Linked DNA regions of Caenorhabditis elegans. The protein of the gene in region 1 interacts with the protein of each later gene in a pairwise test. Each region holds a gene or a part of one and is shown in the gene's direction. Other genes may lie near its edges. The genes, in order: ztf-20, spc-1, F49E2.2 and tra-4.

Region 1 (5,000 bases):
AAACCAACACGATTGAAAGAAAACTTTTTCACTGAAAATAAATACACTCGATTTTGCGCGTTCGAAACAAAATATATACAATATTTGAATCACTTCGAGCAAAACTATTGTGGTTTTGAGTTTTAATTCGATATATCTATTCAGAAATACTGTAAAATATAGGGATTCAGATGAAAAATTGAACAAAGCTATTGTATTTTTTTAAAGAGAATGTAGAATTTAAACAAAACCAATTTTCTTGAGCTTTCCACCTTCAAAAACCGAATTTTTTGCAGTTTCCCGGGATCCCCTGAGTACGCTGTAATTGTATACTACTGGAAAGGTGAACCAATTCAATTTGAGCCAGCTTTCAAGCAAAATGGAGTACGAACAGAGTCTAAGGAGTACTCGAGATATCAACAAATTGCTGATGAGGAACAAGAATTTGTGGAGGCTACTGGTTCTATGGATCCTGTGGTAGAAAATTTGCAGAAGTACGGAATTCGAAATTAAATATAAAAATTTTGAAAAAAAAATTTTTTTTTTTTGAAAATCTCAAATTTCTATTTTCTATTTTTCAATAAGAAATATCATATTTAATGTTTTTTAACAAAAGTTTTTTTTCCAGAAACCTTGCCCCATCACCACCACCGCTACTAAAACGTGTCACCTTCCCACCGGAACCCCAACAATCCACGTCATCAACATCGGCTGAAAACCTTCACGAGCTGAAATTACAGCTTATTCGACGAGAAATGCAAAATCAGGACAGATTTTCGGCGGTTTTAGACCGGGCCGACGGGCTTTTGGCTAGAATGGAGCAGAGATTCGGTGTGGAGCACCACCACCATATTGTACATCAGGAACAAGAAGAAGAAGTGTGGGATCATGAACAAATTATTGAAGAAGAAGAAGTTATTGTGCAGGATACGATGGAATATTGAAATGATTTTTTAAATTTTTTTTAGTTTTTGAAAATGCGAAAAATTTAAATTTTGAAATAAAAAATTTCAAAATTTTTTTTTTTGGATTTTTGTTTGAATTTTTTTAATTTTCAAAATAAATAAATAATTGTTTTTTTTTTTCAATTTTGAGTCACTTTTACACAATATGGTTTCGAATTTCCATTATAACTTAACGACAATTGTAAAAGTTGAGCCTTGCCATGAAATCTACAGTAACCCGCTGGTTTTCTTGTATGTTTTTGAAATCAGGAGATCACAGCGGTTCGAATAAGTATAATCATGACTAGGTTTCGAATTCATTAATTTTTTTTTGAGTTTTGGGTCCTGCCACGAAAACCAAAAAACTAGCGGAACTCGGCAAATTTCGATCGAAATTTCTAGTTCATAATAGTTTTCAAATTGACATGAAATGCGCGGTTTGAATGAGTATAATCACGACTATTTAAAAATTTTAAATTTTTGGGTCCCGCCGCGAAAATCAGAAAAACTAGGATAACTCGGTGATTTTCGATCGAAATTCCTGAAATTTTATAGTTTTGAAATCAGCATAAAATGGCGGTTCTAATAAGTATAATCATTACTAGACTCCGAATTTATTTATTTTTTCGAGTTTTTGGGTCTCGCCACGAAAAGTGTGAATTTTCGAGCAATCGATTTCATTTGACATTATTAGAAATTAGTATAAAATGACGGTTTAAATAAGTATAATCATGACTAGGTTTGAAAAGTTTGAATTTTTGGGTCCGGCCATGAAAACTTCTGGTTTTCGTGGTGAGACCCATTTTCTGTAAATTTTTGGAATCAGAAGACCACTGCGGTTTGAAAAAGTATAATCATGACTAAGTTTGAAAATTTCAGAAAATATTCGAATTTCTGGGGGGTCCCGCCACGATCAACTAATTTTCAGATGGAAAGCTTCTTAGAACACCTAGAGCAACTCAAACACGAATTTTCACAACTACCAGACGTTCATCTTTCAGAAGCAATAGGTTTGTAGAGACGAGCAAAATTTTTTTAATTTTTTGAAAAAAGTACTTCCAGAACGTATGGACGCAGCAGTTGAAGAAATGACACAAAGTGTGATATTTATTGAGGATAACTTCCAAAATACACAGGAAGAATGTCTAGTGGATATGGGAAAACATATGGTGGTACGTAATTAGGGAAAAGTTTGGGAAATTTGGAATTTTGGTCGCTGCTAATTTTTTGGGCGCTGCAATTTCTCATCATTTCAGGAAGATTTCTTGGATCCATCCGCCGCTGATTTTCTCGGTCACCTGGAGCCGTCTACGTCATCGCAGGATTTCATCTACTATGATGACGTGGCATTAGACACTACTACGTCATCGTCGTTCGTCACGTCACAACCTAGAGAATTGTACTGTTTTACGTGTGGAGATGCATTTAACAATCGGAAAGGGCTTTACAGGTATATTATATTTTAATTTAAAAAAAAAACAGAAATTTTCTTTAAAAAAATATTTTCTCAGACACGGAAAAACCGCCGAACACGCGACACGACCTCCTCGCCGAAAAATTGAGCGAAAAATTCAAATTCCCGCCGAACCGCCAGAAAAACCACCGGAAATTCCGAAAAAATCGATAAAAATCTGCGGGGAAAAATCGATTTGTGCGGAATGTTCGGGGAGTTTTCCTAATCGAAAAGCACTTTACAGGTGAGAACGCCCAAAAAATTAGCAGCGCCCAAAAATTAGCAGCGCCCAGAAAATTAGCAGCGACCAAAAAATTAGCAGCGCCCAAAAATTAGCAGCGCTCAAAAAATTAGCAGCGCCTAAAATATTAGCAGCGCCCAAAAAATTAGCAGCGACCAAAAATTAGCAGCGACCAAAAAATTAGCAGCGCCCAAAAATTAGCAGCGGCTAAAAAATTAGCAGTGCCCAAAAAATTAGCAGCGCTCAAAAATTAGCAGTGCCTAAAAAATTAGCAGAGCCCAAAAATTAGCAGCGCCCAAAAATTAGCAGCGACCAAAAATTAGCAGTGACCAAAAATTAGCAGCGCCCAAAAAATTAGCAGCGCCAAAAAATTAGCAGCGCCCAAAAATTAGCAGCGCCCAAAAATTAGCAGCGACCAAAAATTAGCAGCGACCAAAAATTAGCAGCGACCAAAAATTAGCAGCGACCAAAAAATTAGCAGCGCCAAAAAATTAGCAGCGCCCAAAAAATTAGCAGCGCTTAAAAAATTAGCAGCGCCAAAAAATTAGCAGCGCCTAAAAAATTAGCAGCGCCCAAAAATTAACAGCGACCAAAAAATTAGCAGCGCCTAAAATATTAGCAGCGCCCAAAAAATTAGCAGCGCCCAAAAAATTAGTAGTTACCAAAAACAGTTTCTATTGATTTTTGCAGATTTTTAATCGATTTTTCTCTAAAATTTACAGATTTTCACGATTTTTCTTAAATTTTTAAATATTTTCAGACATGGAAAACAAACAAATCATCAGACACATTTTCAACGTGGAATGAATATTAAAGGAGGATCAATTCGATGCGAGAAATGCGAATATAGCAGTGATAGTGAAAAGAACTTGAAACGACATTGTCAGAGAAATCATTCGAAATTTTCTGCAATTTCTGATGAGATTTTATTGTAAAATTCTAGTTTTTCATCACCTTTTACCTCGGGTAGCAACTTTGCAGAGTTTTAGTGCAAAATTCCGTCAAGTCCGGTGTTTTGAGTACGGTAGTCGGTGTTTGCGTGCTTTCGGCGCTACAGTACCCAAAATTTCTCAAATTTAACTCTAGAAGCCTATAAATAGACGGATTAGCTCAGAATTCGATAAAAATTTCGAATTTTTCAGTAAAGTATACAAATACCAAATGTTAACTGCGGAAAATACCATAAAATTCTAAATGCTTGAAATTTCAGCATTTTTTGAGATTTTTTCAACCTTTGCAGTGTGAAGTACCCGAAAATGTTCAAATTCAGCGCTAGAATACCGGGAAAAACGATTCTCACTCAGAATTCGACGGGAAATTCGAATTTTGCACATTAAAACATGAGAATTCTCAATTTTTAGTGTCGAAAATCAATATAAATCCAAAAATCTGAAATTTCAGCATTTTCCGAAGTTTTAAACATTTTTTCAGTGTGAAATTCGAGCTCTCCGACGAATTTCACATCTATATCATTCTTTTCAGCGTTTTTGTGCAAAATTCCGTAGAATCCGGTGTTTGCGTACTTCCAAAACTACAGTAACCCAAATTTCTAGATTTTGGGCTAGAAGCTCCAGAAAAAATGTAAAAGGCTCAGAATTTAAAGGAAAAATTGAATTTAATATGAAATTTATGGAATTTTCAAAAATAAAAAAATTTGGAAAAAAATTATTTATCTTTTCTTTTTTGTATTGTTCCAGTGTATATATTGTTTTATGATCTCTGATTATTGTTCTCTTATCTGATATTTTTTTGTGATAAAGAAAATGTCATCATTTTTTCCCGCGTTTCTGTGTGTACTTTGTATGTTATTTTCCCCGGGAATAAACTTTTTTTCTGCAAAAACTTTTGCACTGAAGCCTATATTGTGGTCATATGTGTATTGTAGCACTGATAATATTCAATGTTGAAAAAATTTGAAAAAAAATTTTTTTTGAAATTTTTTTTTTTGGAAATTTTCTTTTGGAATTTTTCATTTCTTCAAACTACTTCTCATTTTTGTTCAAAATTTGCAAATTTCCAACACTTTTCACCCAAAAATTCAAAAAATTCAAAAAATTCAATTAAAAATTCATTTTCGGATTTTTTCCAGAGTTTTCCAAAATGTGCATTGGATTTATTAAAATTGCTACTTCACCCAGTGAAAAATACAAATTAATTATTCTGAACAATAGAGATGAGGATTTGGACCGGCCGACTACTCCCATTCACTGGCACGATGGGATGCTGAGTGGTAAGGCTGGAAATTATCACTTTACAGGGAAAAATTGGAAAAATTGAAATAAAGAAATCGAATTCCGCATATTTGAAAACCTATGTGAAGGTTTTAAAAAAATTAGAAAATTTTAAAATTTAGAAAAAAAAATTTTTTTTTCAGAAAATTGAG
Region 2 (4,603 bases), on another chromosome or scaffold:
GCCTCTTCTCAGAGTGTGACGAACTCGAAAACGAGAGAGAACTAATAGTTTTCATTTGTGTTTCCTTCTCCTTCATTGCCGTCCTTCACTCATGTGTCCGCAGGAAGTTTTCGAACGCAGGTGGCCTCCATCCGGCACTTGACAGATTTGGCGCGGCTCCCCGTTTCCGGTGTTTGCTCACTTTTGTTATGAACCAAAGCTTGACCATGTCACTTAAGAAAAAAGCCCTTGAAGAATCCCTTTTTCGGCTTTTTGTGTGGATGCTTTTAGATTTGATAGAATGGGGTCCCCTATTGTTTTAAATCATTCAGTTGTTTAGCGTAAGTGGATGTAGTTATTTGAGTTTGGAGGTTTTGTATCGTGGTTTTTAAACTAAAACGAATATTCTTTTGTGCAAAGAAATTTCTAATTTGCTCATTTACTCACTTTTACTTCCAAATTTTGAAGTTATGTTTTTTCGGTTATCCTTCCCGCTTTCCCGCTTCCCGTTTTAATAATTTCTGTCACTTTCTCTTTCATCATCACTTCTTCCGTTCCAAATCGATTACCCAATTTTATTGACAACACATCAGTGAAACTTGCAAATATTTGGAGGACATACTTTATACTCCATCTCCGAATATATACATAAATGTGTGGTCGGTGGTGTGTGTGTTGGCGGAGACCCCGGAGAGAGAGAGAGAGTCAAACTGCGAGTAACTGGAGAGATGGAGGATGATGCATTCGGTGAGGGACTGTGTGCTGTTGAGAGGAAATCGCTGGCATTTAATAGAAGAGTGCGTTTTTGTGAGTGTGTGTGTGTGTGAGTGTGTGTGAGGGCAGTCAGAGCGCGGCTGTGTGCGAGGCTGAGCGGGACGAGCGCGTCCAGGCCTGCAGTCGTCTCCCCTCTTGTTGTCTCTGCTTCTCTAGCCACACTCTCTCGTTCTCTGCATTCGGTTTTGTGTTGGTGTTGTGGACGCGGGGGTCGTTTTGGGCGATCGATAGCTGCCAGCTCTTCTTGTACTTGAACCAGTTGAAGTCATCTCCTTTTTTCACTTTGAGAGCATATTCTTTCTTGTTTCATCATTTTCAAAATTTGCTGCATTGTGCAAAACCCCTTTTTTGTAATGTCTCTTCTGTTTCTGACAGCTGTGTGTTCAATTTCAACACAGCTTGTAAACGGCGGAGTCGGAGTTAGTCTGACTCATCGAAATATTGTTATCAGTTCAAAAATGTTGACAGTTGTGTGGGCTGGAAATGGAACCACCTTTTAAAATTACTTTTGACATGATATACTTTTTGAGTAACACTTTCTTGGTAAATTTTCATTCGTAGAATTTATAAGCTTATTAAATTAAAGCCACAAGCTTTCCCATTTTCTATTATTTTTTGTCTCCCAGGTGATTCTTTTCCGCACTTCGTCATTATTTGTTCCCACGTTGTATTTATCCTCTAAAGCTCTCTCTGATTTTTTTTGTTACATTCTTCTCATTTATTTGCTCATTTGTTTCTGTTACGGTCTCTTCATAATCAACTTTCTTTCATTTTCATTTCTATGGAGGTTTTAAAACAATTGTTTTTCAGCGAAATAAGATTATGGCTGATTCGAATGACACTCATGCTCCACCAGAGCCGGTGCTAGAAGTACCGCCACCACAGGAGATTCGTATTCTGGAGACTGCTGATGACATTCACCAACGTCGTCAGGAAGTATTAGGTCACTATTCAATTTTCAAGGATCACTCGCAGACAAAACGAGATCGTCTCGAGGAAGCTCGTCAGTTTCAATATTTCAAACGGTTAGTTCTAAAATTTTGTTGGGTTGTCTAGAATTCTAATTTTTCTGTTAAAGAGATGCTGATGAGTTGAACGTTTGGATTCTTGAAAAGCTCCAGACAGCTCAGGAAGAAAACTTCAGAGATCCGAGCAATCTCCAGGTTGGTACCATCTTCTCATTATTTCTCAGTCGTATTCATCATCTATTTCAAAGTTATCTAAAACATAAATTTTCTGTGGTTGGTCCCCAGCTTTCCATTCTCAATCCTTTTTGACGACAACTCGCACAATTCTTTTCTCTTGGTTCATTTTCCCTCGGGGGGACACTCGGACCCCTTTCTTCTGCTGCCTTGTTTGGGGGCACACAAATGTCTTTTGGGAGCAACGACAAAGGCGCAGCAGCAAAAATATATTGATTTGAGTGGTTCGCTTCAGCGCTTTTCTCTGTGCCTTCGTTTCGAGAAACGCATCTGCGACCCCCAACATGCATGCTCACTTGAAGATTAGGAACTGAAAGCAATGTAGTGCACAATTACATTTATAAACAATTGGCTCGAGTAGAGAGGAGTACATGTGAATTTTGCTAACTTAGTTATTTTCTGGGAAGCAGAAAAGATGAAAATGAAATCTTTTTACACAATATCGTCATTTTGGAAGATATGAGCGCTAGAAATTAGGAGTTAAAAAGTCTTTGAGGAAACAATTTTTTACTGCTCCTAATATCATTCACCTTTACTTATAATGAAACACACTGAAAACCCAATAAATTCCTGTGGGGGTTCCAATTAATCCTCGCCGCCGTTTTTTATCATGCGTTCCGATCGAAAGATGAGATGAATACATATAGTAATAGACGGGAATCTATAAAAAGTCGGGCGTTCGTACACGGCCTTGACACTGCGTAATCGCAACTGACGTGACCTGACTTGATCCGCCGGTTTCCTGTAATGCCTGGAATGATAAGTAATACTGACGAGTAAGAAGATAGATGAGGCGATTATGTTTCTGTTGCTAGGTTTAGCGGTTGAAAAAAAAATGAGAGTAAGAGTTGACTAGTTTTGAAGCATGAATTGAAAGAGAAAATTTTTTTACATCAAAATGAAAGTATGATCAAATGTAAATCATAAAACATTTTCAGGCCAAGATCCAGAAGCATGAAGCGTTCGAAGCTGAGGTTCAAGCTCACGCTAAGACCATCGCCAACCTCGACAAGACCGGAAACGCTATGATCCAACACAATCATTTCGCTAGCGAACACATCAAGGTACTTAAAATCACTAAAGACATTTGACAGTCTGATGATTAATTATTTTCAGAAACGCTTGGAAGAGTTGCACGCCCTCTGGGATAAGCTCTTCTTCAAACTGAAGGATAAGGGAATTAAGCTACAACAAGCACTTAAACTTTTGCATTTTATTCGTCAATGCGATGAAATTCTCTACTGGATTCGAGAGAAGGAAACCTATGTCACCGCAGAAGACATGGGAATGGATCTCGAACACGTTGAGATACTTCAGCGTAAATTTGACGACTTTTTGAAAGAACTCGGTAACCATCAGTACCGAATCAATGAGATCAATCAAGCTGCTGACAAACTTGTCGAGGAGGGACACTCTGAGCACGATCAGATCTACAAGAAGCGCGATGACGTTAATGATGCTTGGCATCGTTTGAACACTTTGGCGGCCACTCGTAAGGAAGGGCTCTTTGGAGCTCATCAAGTTCAACGCTTCAATCGCGATGCAGACGAGACCCTTGCATGGATTGGAGAGAAGGATCTTGCTTTGTCAAGCGATGATTACGGAAGAGACCTCAATAATGTTCAAGCTCTTCAACGCAAGCATGAAGGAACTGAACGTGATCTTGCTGCTCTTGAAGGAAAGATGCTCCAATTGGAGAAAGAAGCTCATAAGTTGGCAGAAACTCATCCAGATCGTGCTGAAGCGATTCATCAAAAGAACGATGACACCAAAGCCGCCTGGAATGCACTCAAGGAGAAGGCTCAACACCGCAAAGATGGACTTGAGAGAAGCTTCCAGCTTCATCGTTTCTTGGCCGACTACCGTGACTTGATTAGCTGGATTGGAGACATGAAAGCTGTCATCGGAGCTGATGAGCTTGCAAAAGACGTGGCTGGCGCTGAAGCTCTTCTTGAAAGTCATCAAGAACACAAGGGAGAAATTGATGCTCGTGCTGACTCGTTCAACCAAACTGCATCCGCTGGACAAAAGCTCGTTGAGATGGGAATTCCAGAGAGTCCAGAAGTTCAGGAGAAGCTCGAGAAACTTGACCACGAGAAGTCTTCTCTTCTTGGATTGTGGGAGGAACGTCGTATTCTCTACGAGCAATGTATGGATCTCCAACTCTTCTATCGTGACACTGAACAAGCCGAAACCTGGATGAACAAGCAGGAAGCGTTCCTTGCCAACACTGATTTGGGAGATTCACTAGATTCTGTCGAGCACCTCATCAAGAAACACGAGGACTTTGAGAAATCGCTTGCTGCTCAAGAGGAGAAGATCAATGCACTTGACGAGTTTGCTACCAAGCTCATTCAAGGACAGCATTACGCTGCTGATGATGTTGCCGAGAGACGCCAAGCTCTTCTTGACCGTCGTCGTCGTCTTCTAGACAGAGCTCGTCAACGTGGAAATGCTCTCAAGGAAAGCTACAAGCGCCAGACATTTGACCGTGACTGTGATGAGATGGTTAGCTGGATCACTGAAAAACTGTCCACCGCTCGTGACGATTCTTACTTGGATCCTACCAACATTCGTGGAAAACTCCAAAAGCACATCAACTTTGAGCAAGAGCTTAAGGCTAACGAGAACCGTTTGGACGATATTCG
Region 3 (7,629 bases), on another chromosome or scaffold:
TGGCCTTTTGTGTGTTCAATCTGAAATTGAACGATGAACGACAAGTGAACTTTCAGAATTTTCTTATATTTTCTTATCTCTTTCTCTGATTTCTGAAGCTCATTTGCACAATATGTTTAAGAATACCTCTTGAATTTTTAGTCTGACTGCTTCTCTTTTTTGTTCGGGCGTCAACGTGAGTATTGGTTCGGCATGTTCTCGTAATGGAACAGTTAGTTGTTTTACAATTTCTTCTGTTGACGACTTGACCCGTGACCATTGAAATAACTTTTTTCCTGCTCGACAACTCATCTGTAATATTTATATCAAAACACTTTTAAAAATGCGGTGCGATTAATTTATTGATTAGGAATTGAGAAAAAAAACAAAACCTAGAGAAAAGGTGTAAAGTAAACTCCAAGCAGCACATTGTGGCTCTCACGCTCAAACATAAATCGTGGGCGTTGAAACCATAGAAAATGCAAAACGGAACAACGGGAATGTTTTGTCATCATACAGGTTGATGGGCACTCTACTCTGCATTGGTGATTTGCAATTCAATTCCGAAAAGTGATTTTTGTGTCGACGAAGGAGAAAACGAACGTGTTGCAGAGAACAAAAAGAAAAAGAGGGATAGAGGCTCAGGAATTTTGGACTTTATATATCAGGAAATGTATTTTTAATGAAAATGAAATATCATGATTCGGTCTAACGATTTGAAAAACTCAGTAACTTTTGAATGTCAATAAAAAATTTTTATTCCAGCTGTTGAAAAGTGTTACTATTCTATTTGATCATTTTGGCATTTTATGGATAATTTTTAACAATTTTCTTACTGTCGCTACTCCACCTTAATTAATTTCTGATGCAAGTTATTAATTTCTGATGCAAGTTATCAATGTCTGATTTTCAAATGGTTCGTGAAAATAAATCGAGGTTTTATCATTATCTTTTAATCAATATGATTCTGACGCTAGAAACACAATATTTCTGGAAGAGACAACAACATTGTTTGTCAAAAGATAAACAAGCGAATATATTTCAGAACATTTGTGTGCTCTTGACTATCATTTCCTCATAGTTTCTAAATCAGAAGGAGTGTTGCCATTATGAGTAAGTTAAATACCGTGTCCCAAAAATATAGTGTACTCATAAACCCCTTTTTTTAAAGTTGTCACGTCCTCCAAGTGTCCCATCTTCCAAACATCTCTATTTCTCTCTGTCTTTCTTTCTGACGTGTCTTTTTAACTCTTTTGGTGACCCCTGTAATTTGTACATTGTATAATAAAGCATAGACTATTTGAGACAGAGAGAGCGATGTGAAAAGGGCACTTGATACAACGTAAAAAAAATTGTTACAGCTGGCATCTTCAATCTGGGCGCTCGACGATCTTCGCTGATTGGGATGAAACTATGGAGATGGAGAGGTGAGGATTTTTGGGGTAAAAATATTCAATCAATTTAAGTGACTCATACAAACACAAAAAAATCATGTTATCAAAATCCATTCAATAATAAAATTGCAAAAAATAAATACGGAATGTTCCAATCTGCCTCCCTCATTCCCATCCCATTCCATTCTTTTGTTCTGTTTGTCCTGGTTTTCATCGAAATATTGATAAACTCCAATGGAATCTGCAACTGACGAGTTTTACTACCAATCTCGCATTCCACCACAGCCATCCCCTTTACCAGCTCAAACTCTTGAAATTAACGGTCACAAATATGTTCTCAATCATCGTTTCAAGAGTATCAAGATTGGTAAGTATGGTTATACGTCCGAGTGATTGGCAAACGACCTCGGGATACATACGTTTTGTTAGCCGGATAGTTACGACGTGTTTTTTTGGAGGGAGAAGACGAACGGAATAGAAAACTTAGACATTAGTCATGCTTGTCAGTTGTGTCGCGCGTCTCTTTGTGCCAAAAAACTTCGCCACATGTTAAAAGGTTGGTCAACTTTTGTTTGTATCGAGGGAAATACTGAACTTAAATGCAACATTAATATTTTCATAGAATAAAATGTAAGTATTAGTTTCAAAAAGTTACATTTTAAAGCTTTATAATTTGCAGCTCAATTTATATTTTCAAATATCTCTGAGAAGCATGTGAAAATATAACTTTCATTTTGAGGTGTTCGTAACATTATATAAGTTCTCGTCTTCTGAACACTACCTAGAAATTTAATATATTGTTGGAATTGGAGTTGGAAATGTTGGAAATCATGTGGGGATGCCCGAATGTAGGTGTCCCTGTAAGACAAAACTAGGCAAATCAATAAACACGATTTTTTAAGTGATAATGTGTATGTATTGTAGCTTTTACTTGTGAATTAATTTCATAAGCAACTTAACTTAACTGTGCTAGTGGTATTTTTTGTTTAGTTACATTTTCCTAACAATGATACACTTATTTTGATTGAGCAAGATGCTCAACATATTTCTACTGTCTTTGATGTTTCACATGTATAACGCAAATTTTGAACATACATGTTCAAAAAATCATTATTTACTCACTTATTAACAACATTGGTATGACAATGTAATTTAAATTGCGGTATATTAAATCAATAATTTTTTATGGTTTAAAATAAGTTTTGAGTTTTGACTACTTCTCTAAATTTTGAATAAATTACAAAACGAGTTACTTGTAAAGATGCCGATCAACTTTTGTAGCACAATAATTAAAGTTGTCCTGTACTTTATTCATAGCTTTATTTAATTCTAAACAAATTTTATTTTACTTCACGGGTCAGTGTTCAGAATTGAAACAATTAAAACAAACTAGAGTTCAATGTTTTACTAATAACACTCACTATCAGGTTTCTTTACAAGCTTAAACGATGCGTTTTTTATATTTTTATATTATTTAATTTCAAATTATTCAAATGTTGTTCAAAAAGTTGCATACGGCTTGTCATTTTTTTTTGTCAGATGTCACCATTCTCTGTTGTCACGCTCTTAAAATTGATAGTGTCAAAATGTCAACAGTATTTCTTCACACAATCAGAATAGTCGCTTCAGAATGGCACAAAAACTTAAAGTAGGCGGCGATTTTTGGTTTTGTTTCACACTCTCCCAATCTGCCAGGTTTCTCGCCGCTTGGCGCCGATGCCCGGGTAATGTACATAATCAAACGCACGCAGCATACCAAAGTCGGGGCTCTTATCACTTGCACAACGCTTTTTCAATAGGTGCCTGCCGCACTGCGTCGTTTCATGAACTTGGTTGTACGCTCGCCTCATTTTCTTATAGAGTGTACACTGTTTTAGGCGTTTTGCCGGCATAATGGCCATTATTTTACTCCAAAAATGAAATATTTTTTGTTTCATTCCTTTCTTATGACACATGTTGCGGTGATAACCATAATCGTTATGATGGAAAGTGGAATTCAGGAATGTTGGCAAACAAAATGACTTTATAACACTATTTCTTCAAAAAATATAGATATTTGTGTTTTATTGATTTAGGTTCACCGTCTTAGGGTTTTTTTAAGTTCTATAACTTGTTTAGTTGTATATTTTTTATAATATTTAGTGTCGCATGCCTTTAGCAATTAACAATATCAATAAAGAAAGTTTCTCGGATGGCAAAAGCGTTATCTACAACAGACCAACCCTGCCCATAAAATATTATAAAACTTTTCCCGCAAAAGTAGTGCATTACTTATGAAAATTGAATGTCAAACAGTTTGCAAAAAGTTGGTTTTCAGTCTCTCATCGGTATCCACCAATCATCCCGATGTCGGTCGACGAACAAGCGGTACCACCGGAGGTTTCGCCTTCAATGGCTGCCAACATTCCACAGATGGTCCACGATCAGCTAGCCGCACAGTTTTTGCCAGGTACCTCTTGTTTAGGTTAACATACACAACAAAATTTCAGCGGCAAAAAATCTTGGGCAAGCCGGAATGCATCTACTGAAAACATATTACAGTAAGTATTTTTGATCAGAAAACAATAAGTTCTCTTACACAGTATTCTTTCTATGCTTTTGTTGTATTTTAAAAAACCTGAGAATGCCTAAATTGTGGCTCGAAAATAGCGGCAACAGGGAAAACAATCGGCGAAGAAAGATATAGGTTCCTTCGCTACGAGATATTCCCGCGCCAAAACGGTAGGCACTCTCATGATCTCATGGTTTCTTAATATTGTAAGAGATGAGAAGTAAAAAAAATTAGAAAACGTTACTGCAAAAAGTTGGCAAATATACGTTGAAAGTATTATAGTTATCATGGTCGGGACGGTTTGTAACAATGGCTCAATAATGTGAATAAAATATACTCAGCTCATCCCATTTCTGTGTTAATAATTTGTTTATAACTCAATTCAGTTTGTATCGCAACACATGAAAACATGTGTAGTTGAAAGACGCATTCATAGAACTCGAGTTTTATATTTTCATAGTTTGTGCCTAAAAATTCAATGACAAAAACTATATTTTTTGTGAGAGTGGAAATTGAAACATTTTCGTTTGCAATCCATATCAATGTAGGTCAAGAAAAATAGCTTTTCAATAATCACATCAAGTTTTCAAGATGACAAGAGTATATAAAAATTTGCAATTTTCAGTGTTCCAAGAAGCATTGTCAAACTATTGTGATGCCACTCACAAACTTATCAAATCAGCTGATACTGCTGGACACAAATCGAAAAATGAAGCTCGAGAGCTTTCAAAAGTTTTTAAAGAGTTTGTACAGGGAGTAAATGCTCATCAAAAAGTCGTAAGCATCAATCTAAAGAAAAGTTTCGCATTCAATATATAATTAAACATAGATTACGGAATTTGACGCGCTGGCACACAAAGTTCATGACTATAGCAACAAGGAAAAAGACAAGCTGAAGACAGAATTTGCTGAGTACAAAGCAAAAGAAAAAAAACTTCTGAAACGCAAAAATGGAGAAACTGAACAAGATATTACCGCGTTCCATAAAAAAGAAGCAGCCAGCTGGGCAAAACAACAGGAAATGAGATACAAATTTTTCAATGACAAGCTGCAATCCTGGATTCACGGGTGAGTTAAATGTAATTAGAATTGTGAAAATAGCAACATTAATTCAATTTCTGGAAAAAAAAACTCTCATAAAATATTATCAGATACGTCGAAATTGGGAAATTATTCCAAGCCCAAGAAGTGATTGTTCAGCCAGCAGTTGGGAGTGTGATCGCTGCACCGGTTGAAATTGAGACCATACCAGAAGACCACAAAGATTGGCATCAAGATTTACATGAGCATGCCGCCGTTGTTGCAGCTGAGGAAATTAAAGAGAATGTTGAAAAGGTAAAACACAATTTAATGCGTGTATATCATATTAAATTTCAGAAAGTAGATGAAGCTGTACAGGACAGCCGCAGCAATTCGACTTCATCGGTTGCAACAACGCTAGAGGATCTTCCATCTTCTCGTCGTCTCACAAATGACGTTTCCGGAGTCACACTGGTTAGTAATTATCGCCGTCAATCAATTGAGGTTAGTTGAGGACTAATATGTCATGTGAAGAAATGTTTCAAAGTTGTTATAAGTCAATATTGTGTATAAACAATAGGTCATAGTTACATTAAATCACGTACATAAAACTTATAATACATACGTTTCATTTTGTATTAAAAAAAAAGAACACTCACATTTTCAAAGTTTATTACTATGTGTAAGCCATCGGACTAGTTGTAGGATACTTAAAATTTGAACTGTTGAAGCAAGGAGGTATTCAAAATTTCTCCTATTTTGAAAAATTCGCATCTGCAATAACACTATTTTTTAATGTTTGTATAATGTCCGCATGTGCTATTAAATTATCTAGGATAAAAATCAATAAAAAACGCAACATTTTGAATTTTAATTTAGATTAAAATCAGTTTATTTATTCATAGTTAAGCCTGCATGAACTTTCAATCAGCAACACAGTGTTTTCAAAATTTAACAATAGAATTCAAAAATGTTTGTAAACATCGAAGCAAAAGTCTTTAATCGAAAAAAGAAATATTAGCATCGTTTTGTCAATTAGATTTTATTGAGTTTTCACTTTGGTTTTGAAATCTTGGCAATCTTTCTATCACGTTTTAGAAATGTTACGCGAATTTTAAAAGGCTGACTGAAGAACAACTATTTTCACGTGTTACATAATTATCAAAATTTTTTCGTAACAACTTCACGTGTTTGTTTAATGGTAGAATAGCGACGTATGAATAGTTGCTCTATTTGACTCAAAATTACCTCACATAACATTACTATATTTTATTTAATCTTTCACATAAAGTTTTTATCAAAGATTTGAACTGCAGTAAAAACATTTCATATTCTTATTATGTATTCACAACGTGCCCCGAATTAAAATACCATGCATTGGTTTTTACAAACAGTAAATGCAACTGGTTTATTTCGAAGAAAAATTTAATTGCCGTATTAATTTCAGATTCAACAACTTCCACCCAACAACAGCTACTCCCACATTGCTCCACCAGTCTTGCCGCCAAAACCAGTTGTCGAAAACCCCCAATATGCTCCGATTCGCGCTCAACCAGTTCCAGTCACACGCCAGGAGGAGAGCACATACGCCCCTCGTCATAATGTTGTCGCCGAGGTAAGCATCTGGTGTAATCATCTTTTCACTCGCTATTATTTGTCCATTTTGATAAAACTATGCGTTTCCAGCAAGTGCCTCAACAGCCGGTTAATAGCGCTCCAGGTGGTGTCCGCCGTGCTGGAAACACAATTCCAGGTGCTGTTAATGTTTTCGGATTTGCAAATCAATCAAATCCTCAGCCAAATGTCCGCTACACGCCTGTTCAGGTAAAAACTATTCGTGTAATTTTCAATTTTCAAGTGTGATAATCCTTCAGAATAGCACGCCTTATCAAGTTGTTACCAGCGATTATATTCGCGTTGGGAGAGTCGTCGATAATCCAGTGACAGAGGAGCAAATGAATGCTAAAAAGTGAGTACTCACAAGAAATTTGAAAAAAAGAACGACATATTCAGATTCCACGTGGATTCTAGTTACCTTCCAATGGCTGCTCCATCTCACCAAGCACAACAACACAGTCGCAATCATAGTACAGATATTTCGGTTCCATCATTCTTCAACCCATCACAATATGGAAGTATTCTGATTGTTAACGATGATTTCAATGCTTCTTCCGGAGAACAGATGACTGTGAATCGTGGAGACAAGGTACCAAAAACTTTCTAAATAATTTTGAAAAATTAAACTAAAACTTGTTACTTTTTGTGACGTCAAGAAGAAAACAAAAAGAATATAAAACTTTCAAGCAAAACGGCAAACCGATAAAATTTCTAACAACAGACCGGTGCCCTAAAAAAGTGGTAACATTTGCCTGTATCAATATTTTAATTTGACACTATTATAGGATTTGAAAGCCTACATGAGTAGAGTTTCATGAATGTTTTTTTTAATCAAAATCAATTTAAGGTTATTAATTTTTTATCAAAAAAATCTTAGCATTGGTTCGAGATATTTAATTTATGGAATTCGTTTTTACATTCAAACAAGTCCTTACTGAACATTTGTCTAACAGGCTCTTTGTAATATTTAGTATTGAATTAGAGAATACTTGCAAAACATAGTGTAGTTGAAAACTATGTTGATGTTGTTCTTTGTTAGATATTTTGAAACATGCATTAGTCACCTCC
Region 4 (5,910 bases), on another chromosome or scaffold:
TCTTTTTAACGTACTTGTTATAATGAAAAATTGATTTGTATTGTTAAAATAAACGTTCAGGAGTATTCACTGGTCTTGGATTACTCGGTGTCGCCGAAAGAGTTGATTCTCGAGGAATTGTTGTCGCACTTGAGCATCCGGCCTATGCTGTTTTCTGGGATAAAATTGGGCAGAAGCACGCAAGAAAACTCACGGCTACGCAAATGTCCAGAATTCAAATGAGAACATCTGAAAGCATCGAAAAATCATTGCCTCGACTTGCAACAAATGAACCCAACACTTTCGATTTTGTGTTTCTGGATGATTTTAAGAGGGAAAACTATTTGGATGATTATGAACACGCAATTCGACTGATTCGAAGTGGTGGTCTTTTAATCATTAACCAGGTCCCTCATTTCTTAATTAGAAATAATAGTTTTACGTTTTGTTTTCTCTAGGCACTCAATGGTGGTGGAGTGATGTCATCGATTGATCACATGACCAACGATGACAGGGTCATTCGAAACATGAACATACGCATCAAACAAGACCCCCGGGTGAGAAATTTAACTTAAAAATTTTTGAGACAGTGAAAGGGGGAGTATCGGTTTTGGGTATTTTGAACGAATTTCAAAATGAAACTTCTGAAAAAATTTTCAAAATGTTTTATGGGGATTCAAAATTTAAAAGAAAATTGGGCTTGTTCTCTCAAAATTTGAGCAGTTTTCAGTGTCGCAGCGCTAGTTTTTGTGAAGTTTCAAAACTAAATTCGTTTGTTTGAGCACATTGTTGGTATATACGTTCAAAATACCCTGAACCAATATATTAAGATAACTAATTAAAAATCAGAAACTTTACATTTTTCAGGTTTCTGCTTCTCTACTTCCATATGGTGGCGGCACCTGGATTGTTACAAAGAATTGATATAAAATTTGAATTAACATTGTTTTGTATGTTTTTATTTGCATTAAAACTTCTCAATCGCCACGTGTAAAGTGGTGTTCTTGTCCTCAATCAATCCGGTTCATATGTGTTCATAATTTTGACAATGAAATTTTTTAAACCTTCATATTTTTTTATTTCCATAATGTTACTCTAAACGGTTAACCCAGTGTGCTAGAGGTAGAGTAGAATTTAAAAAAAAAAAGAGCTTTTATGAAAATCCAGAGCAATATCGCGTGTTCCAAACACTAGAATGTTTTAACAGAAATATTGAAAACAAAATTAAAGTATTAAAAAGCGTAGAAAAAACTTTTTTTGTCGGCTTCCAAATTTTGAGTTGCAAAAATAAGTAAATATATTTTAAATAAAACATTTAAACTTTTTTGAAAAGTTTTACAATACTATTCGCCTATTTTGGTTTTAATAGAGAAGTTTTAAACACGTTTTTCAATGCCGCTACTTCATCTTTAAAACATCTGTCTGCGAAGCCTTCGTTCTTTGTTTGAGGACAGGCGGACTAGAAAACCCATAGCATTAACTCTTCCATTTCGTTTTTGAGAGCGTCTCATATATATTTCAAGGTTATTATTTTTACAATATTTCTATTTACAAATACATTTTTATCGGTAATTCTTTTTTTGTTTTTTTCGAAAATAGTATTTTTTAATATATTTTTTAACTAAATGTTTATATCATATTTCGATTTAGTTCCACAAACCTAAATTATTTTATTTTCCAATCAAATGAATTGAAAAAATTATTTAAAATCCTGCAAAAACCAGTTAATCGATGAAACTCTGAAATTCAATGAAGAGACGCGATGCGGTCGCGCTGCGTACGCCTGTAATGTGCAGTGTTTTGGTGCGCGCGCGCGCATACTATCGACCCACTATTTCCCACGGTTCAGGCAATGGATGACCCAAATCAATGCACTATTAAACAGGAGGACTCCATAACGCGACCAAGACCTACAGAGGTGAGTTTCTGTTATTTTTTTTCTAATCTCAAAAATTCTTCCCAATTTCAGGCGCCAACGATACAAAATTTGAAACAAGAACCGGCGATTGAAGAAGGTTCATCCTCAACAATGGAGTAAGTTTTTTTTGTTTCTTTTTATAATATATGTAAAATCCGAAAAAATCATTTACTATATATAAAGCGCTTATTCTGTGTGTCCATAGTTTGTAGTCTATGTGGTCTTTGTAGTCTGTGAAGTTTTGGCTTCTGTAGGGATAGTGAGTTAGGGTTAGTGTAGGGATATAGTCGGGGTACTGTAGTGGTACAATTGTGGTACGGTAGGAATACTGTAGGGTGACGGTAGTTTCATAAAAAATCAATTTTCAGCCCCAGAAGTCGGGGGCCGCGCCGAAGGTGCGGTCCACGGCTGGTTAATCTATATTTGAATTTCGTAATGAAATTTCTCAAAATATTTTTATGTCGGTTCAAAAACAGCCAAACTAGCTGAAATCCTTAATTTTGTCAACTTGTTTTGTGTCGCAGAGGTCGGAAATTTTCTTTTTTGGAATTATAAAATTTTATTGCATATTTTGATAGTACTTTATTTTGTAAATTTGGGTACTTTTGAAGCCGATTGGTGACCAAAAATAACAAAAATTGATCACCTAACAGTTTTAAATGTACCAAACGACCAAATTGTCCAAAGGGATGTTAATTCAGAAAAGTGAACTTCCAACCGATCAGATACGGGAAGTGACCAAAATTTAAGGTTTTAGGTACGGCTAGGCCATTTTTTCCAAATTTCGAACCGCCATAATTGTGAAGATTTCATTACGAAAATCATTTGTTTGAGCACATATCGGGCCTATACGTTCAAAATATGCAGAAAAAATCATTTAATTAATTTAATTTTCAGTAATATGCTGATGCTTACTATCGACACCAACCAAGCAAATTGGCAAGGCACCTACGACGACGATGAGATGGATTTGAATAACAAGACCGATTTGATTCCATTACTTGAAACAGAGAAAACGACAATTAATGAGGACGAGCTCTATGACGACGAGGAGGACGATGACGACGATGAAGAGATCAAAAAGGGAATCGGTTTTGGTAATTTGAAACATCTAACTACAAGTTTTTACTAATAACGTGTGTTTTTTCAGAACTTCTAGCTCAAGCACTCGGAATGTCAGCAAAGGTTCCTGTTGAGAAAGAAGAGCCAGAGAAAGAACGTGCAAAGCTCAGTGGAGTCGGAGAATTTATGAAGCAAATTCGAGGAGAAATCAAGCCCATCCAGAAAGAGCGAATTGTTCTTGATGAGTTGGGATTTCGGGTCAGAGACCCTTCGAAGTTTCCTCCTTGCCGTATTGCTGAAGTTCAACAGACACTAACTCTAGCCGATCATCAGGATGGAATTGATCTTCCTCCACCGAATGCTCCAACGGATGTTCGGATTGTACGCAAGCTGATTCGACAGAAAATGGTTCGATGCAAAAAGTGCAAGAATCGATTTATCGAGAAGAACATTTATGAACGACATCTGCGCGACAAACATCCAGATCTCTACGAGGAATATATTCGTGAACAAGAAGAAGAAGTGGAGCTGCAACGGCTTGAAGAAATCGAAGCAAATCGCATTGAAGAGCTACAAACAGGAGGATTCATCCCGCCGGAAAACGAGATTTCTCAACCATCTGAGGATCCAAACTAGTAGGTTCAGCAGTTTTCCGTTTATTTTCTAAATTTCGTCATGCATTTTCAGTATTCCCCTTCCCGGAGAAAACAATGGCGGCCTGGTCCCACGTTTTGACTATTATGGAAGAATCAAGCAACTAAAGCGTCCGTACAAGAAAAAAGTGTCGCCGCAATGTCCGTTCTGTGATAAACGTTTTAGAAATGAGTTTTCCCTCAAGAAACATTTTGCAAAGAAGCACGAGGAGATGGTCGAGTTTCAGCAGTGTCTCAAATGTTTTAAATGTGTTGAAAATGATGCAGAGATGGCGAATCACGACTGTGAATTGGTAAGAAACAATACAAAAAACTCTAAAAATGTTACCTGGCCAATCAAAAAAAAATTTCCTTCTATTTTTTTAATATTTCAATTTTGTTTCAAATATTAATATTCAAACTTTGTAGGACTCTGATCATGCGACATTGCTATAGTTATCTCAAAAAGTGGCAAAATCTCAGTAATAGCTCCTGTTGGACTAGGGAAAAAAAAAATCAAAAAAGTGTTGTATTTGGCCATTTTGGCGCCAGGGGTTTCTAACAATTTCCCCACTGGCGCTACTTTAGTTTAAAACCCTCATTTATAACAAATAACAAATACACTTAAATTTCTTTATTTTAAAACTTATAATTGAATACTACATTCTGGATCTTTGTTCCAGTTCAAACTAAAGACAAGCTCTTAAATAATTAATATTTTCAGACTTATGTTTGCTTCGAATGTACTCCGATCAGAAATCTTTGCACCGACAATCGTCTCCTAAATCACCGAAAGAAGTTCCATCGTGGAGCGAACTCTGGTTTCCGCTGTTCGTTCTGTAACATGAAGTTCCTTACACCGCGTAAACTTCGGAAGCACAAGAAGATGTCCCATGTGTTCACAAAAACGTTCCAATGTCATTTTTGCGAGGAGATATTCATTAGTGAAGTTGCAGTGATGACCCATGAGAGAATGCATACGGGAATTATAAAGTTTGAATGCAAAGTTTGCGACTTTCGTGCAAACCGATACACTGCTATGGAGGTGAGCTTATTCTTTCACACATTAACTTCAAGTCAGCATTTGTCATAATAAAAAATCACATGGTAAAAATGACATTTGTTTTTTTTTGAAGGGGTGCTCTGAGATAGGATTAACATACATGTAAAAAAGAAGAAAAACAAAAAAGAAAAATCAATGTTATTACGGCGATGAAATCGAGGACTCACAATGAGATCAGATTATATCCTGGTGCCTGCCCTTTTGTCATGAATACCCTTATATGAACTTTTAATTATATTGATTCCAGGAACACAAGAGAGATGAGCATGGATATGTTTGCGCGATTTGTCACGAACGTCACGCGGAATACCCCGAGATGAAACATCACGTGTATGAAGAGCACGGAGGCTACCTGGCAGCAGATGAGCCGACAGGTATCACTGAAAAACGAATGACAGAATTTTTAAAATTGAATTTTAATTACAGCATACGTGGAGACTCCGCGGATGTGGATACTCTACAAAGGCGAGTGAAACTTCTTCATCATCACAGATCTTCATCAAAACTACCACACTTTCATTTGATACATTTTTTTTTCAATTTTTTGTTTGTTTTTGTTTCACTTCCCGATTATGTTAAAAAGGGTTTAATTTTGTCATTTAATGTTGATTGTACTATTACTGTAACACCTCTTACTTTTTTTCAGACCATGGACGTGTTTTAATGTTTTAATCTAGCGTGCTATCAATCATTCAACTTTATTCATGATATACACACAAATAAATCAGGTTACTATATGTAGATATTTTGAAATTTATGACATAGTTCACATTGAATTGCTGAACCTTTCGCTTTTTTGTTTTTTTTTTGCATTTTTGTTACCATGATAACTTACAGGAAATGCTCAGGTGGTAGGACGGTAGCAATCATGAGAAATACAAGTCCTGCCTCCCTTTAGGTTCCCACAACCTTAACGGAAAATATTGGCCACAGTCACTGGCTTGGACGTGGCTTAAAATAAAGCCTAGTGGGAGTACCACCGGGCAGTGTACTTGACTTTCAGATGCGCGGTGCATGGCGCTTCACGTGGTGTGTGGCTGTGCCATCAGGGTTTGATCTACAAAAAATGCGGGAATTTTTTGCCTTTAAAAATTTGACGAGAACTCTGCGTCTCACCTCCCGCATTTTTTGTAGATCTACATAAAGCAAACCAAAATGGGACAATCTAACACCACGTGGTGCTTGAAGAACGGATCAAACTTGAATCCTTCAATGTTTTTAATTTCAAGTATTTTTAATTGGAAAAGTTATAGTTC

What was found.
Region 2: the proteins of ztf-20 (region 1) and spc-1 interact in a two-hybrid assay, tested with the Caenorhabditis elegans proteins (one large-scale study listed by BioGRID).
Region 3: the proteins of ztf-20 (region 1) and F49E2.2 interact in a two-hybrid assay, tested with the Caenorhabditis elegans proteins (one large-scale study listed by BioGRID).
Region 4: the proteins of ztf-20 (region 1) and tra-4 interact in a two-hybrid assay, tested with the Caenorhabditis elegans proteins (one large-scale study listed by BioGRID).

The regions. Positions count from the first base shown.
Region 1 is NC_003283.11:18,957,024-18,962,023, reverse strand, and holds ztf-20 (C2H2-type domain-containing protein), read left to right. Parts: upstream 1-1,851; coding exon 1,852-1,933; intron 1,934-1,976; coding exon 1,977-2,095; intron 2,096-2,179; coding exon 2,180-2,373; intron 2,374-2,434; coding exon 2,435-2,620; intron 2,621-3,377; coding exon 3,378-3,552; 3' UTR 3,553-4,457; downstream 4,458-5,000. Other genes in the region: Y39B6A.43 (DUF4124 domain-containing protein), read left to right, coding at 276-473, 608-923; hrg-10 (DUF833-domain-containing protein), read left to right, coding at 4,718-4,847.
Region 2 is NC_003284.9:3,124,034-3,128,636, reverse strand, and holds the start of spc-1 (Spectrin alpha chain), read left to right. Parts: upstream 1-1,575; coding exon 1,576-1,778; intron 1,779-1,831; coding exon 1,832-1,916; intron 1,917-2,893; coding exon 2,894-3,019; intron 3,020-3,071; coding exon 3,072-4,603.
Region 3 is NC_003284.9:9,565,689-9,573,317, forward strand, and holds the start of F49E2.2 (SH3 domain-containing protein), read left to right. Parts: upstream 1-1,607; coding exon 1,608-1,740; intron 1,741-3,094; exon of another isoform or gene 3,095-3,219; intron 3,220-3,347; exon of another isoform or gene 3,348-3,368; intron 3,369-3,690; coding exon 3,691-3,822; intron 3,823-3,862; coding exon 3,863-3,913; intron 3,914-4,549; coding exon 4,550-4,701; intron 4,702-4,753; coding exon 4,754-4,992; intron 4,993-5,075; coding exon 5,076-5,259; intron 5,260-5,301; coding exon 5,302-5,448; intron 5,449-6,391; coding exon 6,392-6,559; intron 6,560-6,630; coding exon 6,631-6,768; intron 6,769-6,818; coding exon 6,819-6,913; intron 6,914-6,957; coding exon 6,958-7,150; intron 7,151-7,629. Other genes in the region: moc-5 (GTP 3',8-cyclase), read right to left, coding at 1-20, 127-291.
Region 4 is NC_003284.9:2,853,159-2,859,068, reverse strand, and holds tra-4 (Zinc finger protein tra-4), read left to right. Parts: upstream 1-1,823; 5' UTR 1,824-1,831; coding exon 1,832-1,897; intron 1,898-1,948; coding exon 1,949-2,013; intron 2,014-2,794; coding exon 2,795-2,994; intron 2,995-3,047; coding exon 3,048-3,594; intron 3,595-3,646; coding exon 3,647-3,905; intron 3,906-4,315; coding exon 4,316-4,636; intron 4,637-4,901; coding exon 4,902-5,028; intron 5,029-5,080; coding exon 5,081-5,127; 3' UTR 5,128-5,390; downstream 5,391-5,910. Other genes in the region: comt-1 (Catechol-O-MethylTransferase family), read left to right, coding at 61-386, 438-536, 847-903. UniProt on the Caenorhabditis elegans protein: Probable transcription factor. Promotes normal hermaphrodite (XX) development, in concert with histone deacetylase hda-1 and nasp-1, perhaps as components of a complex.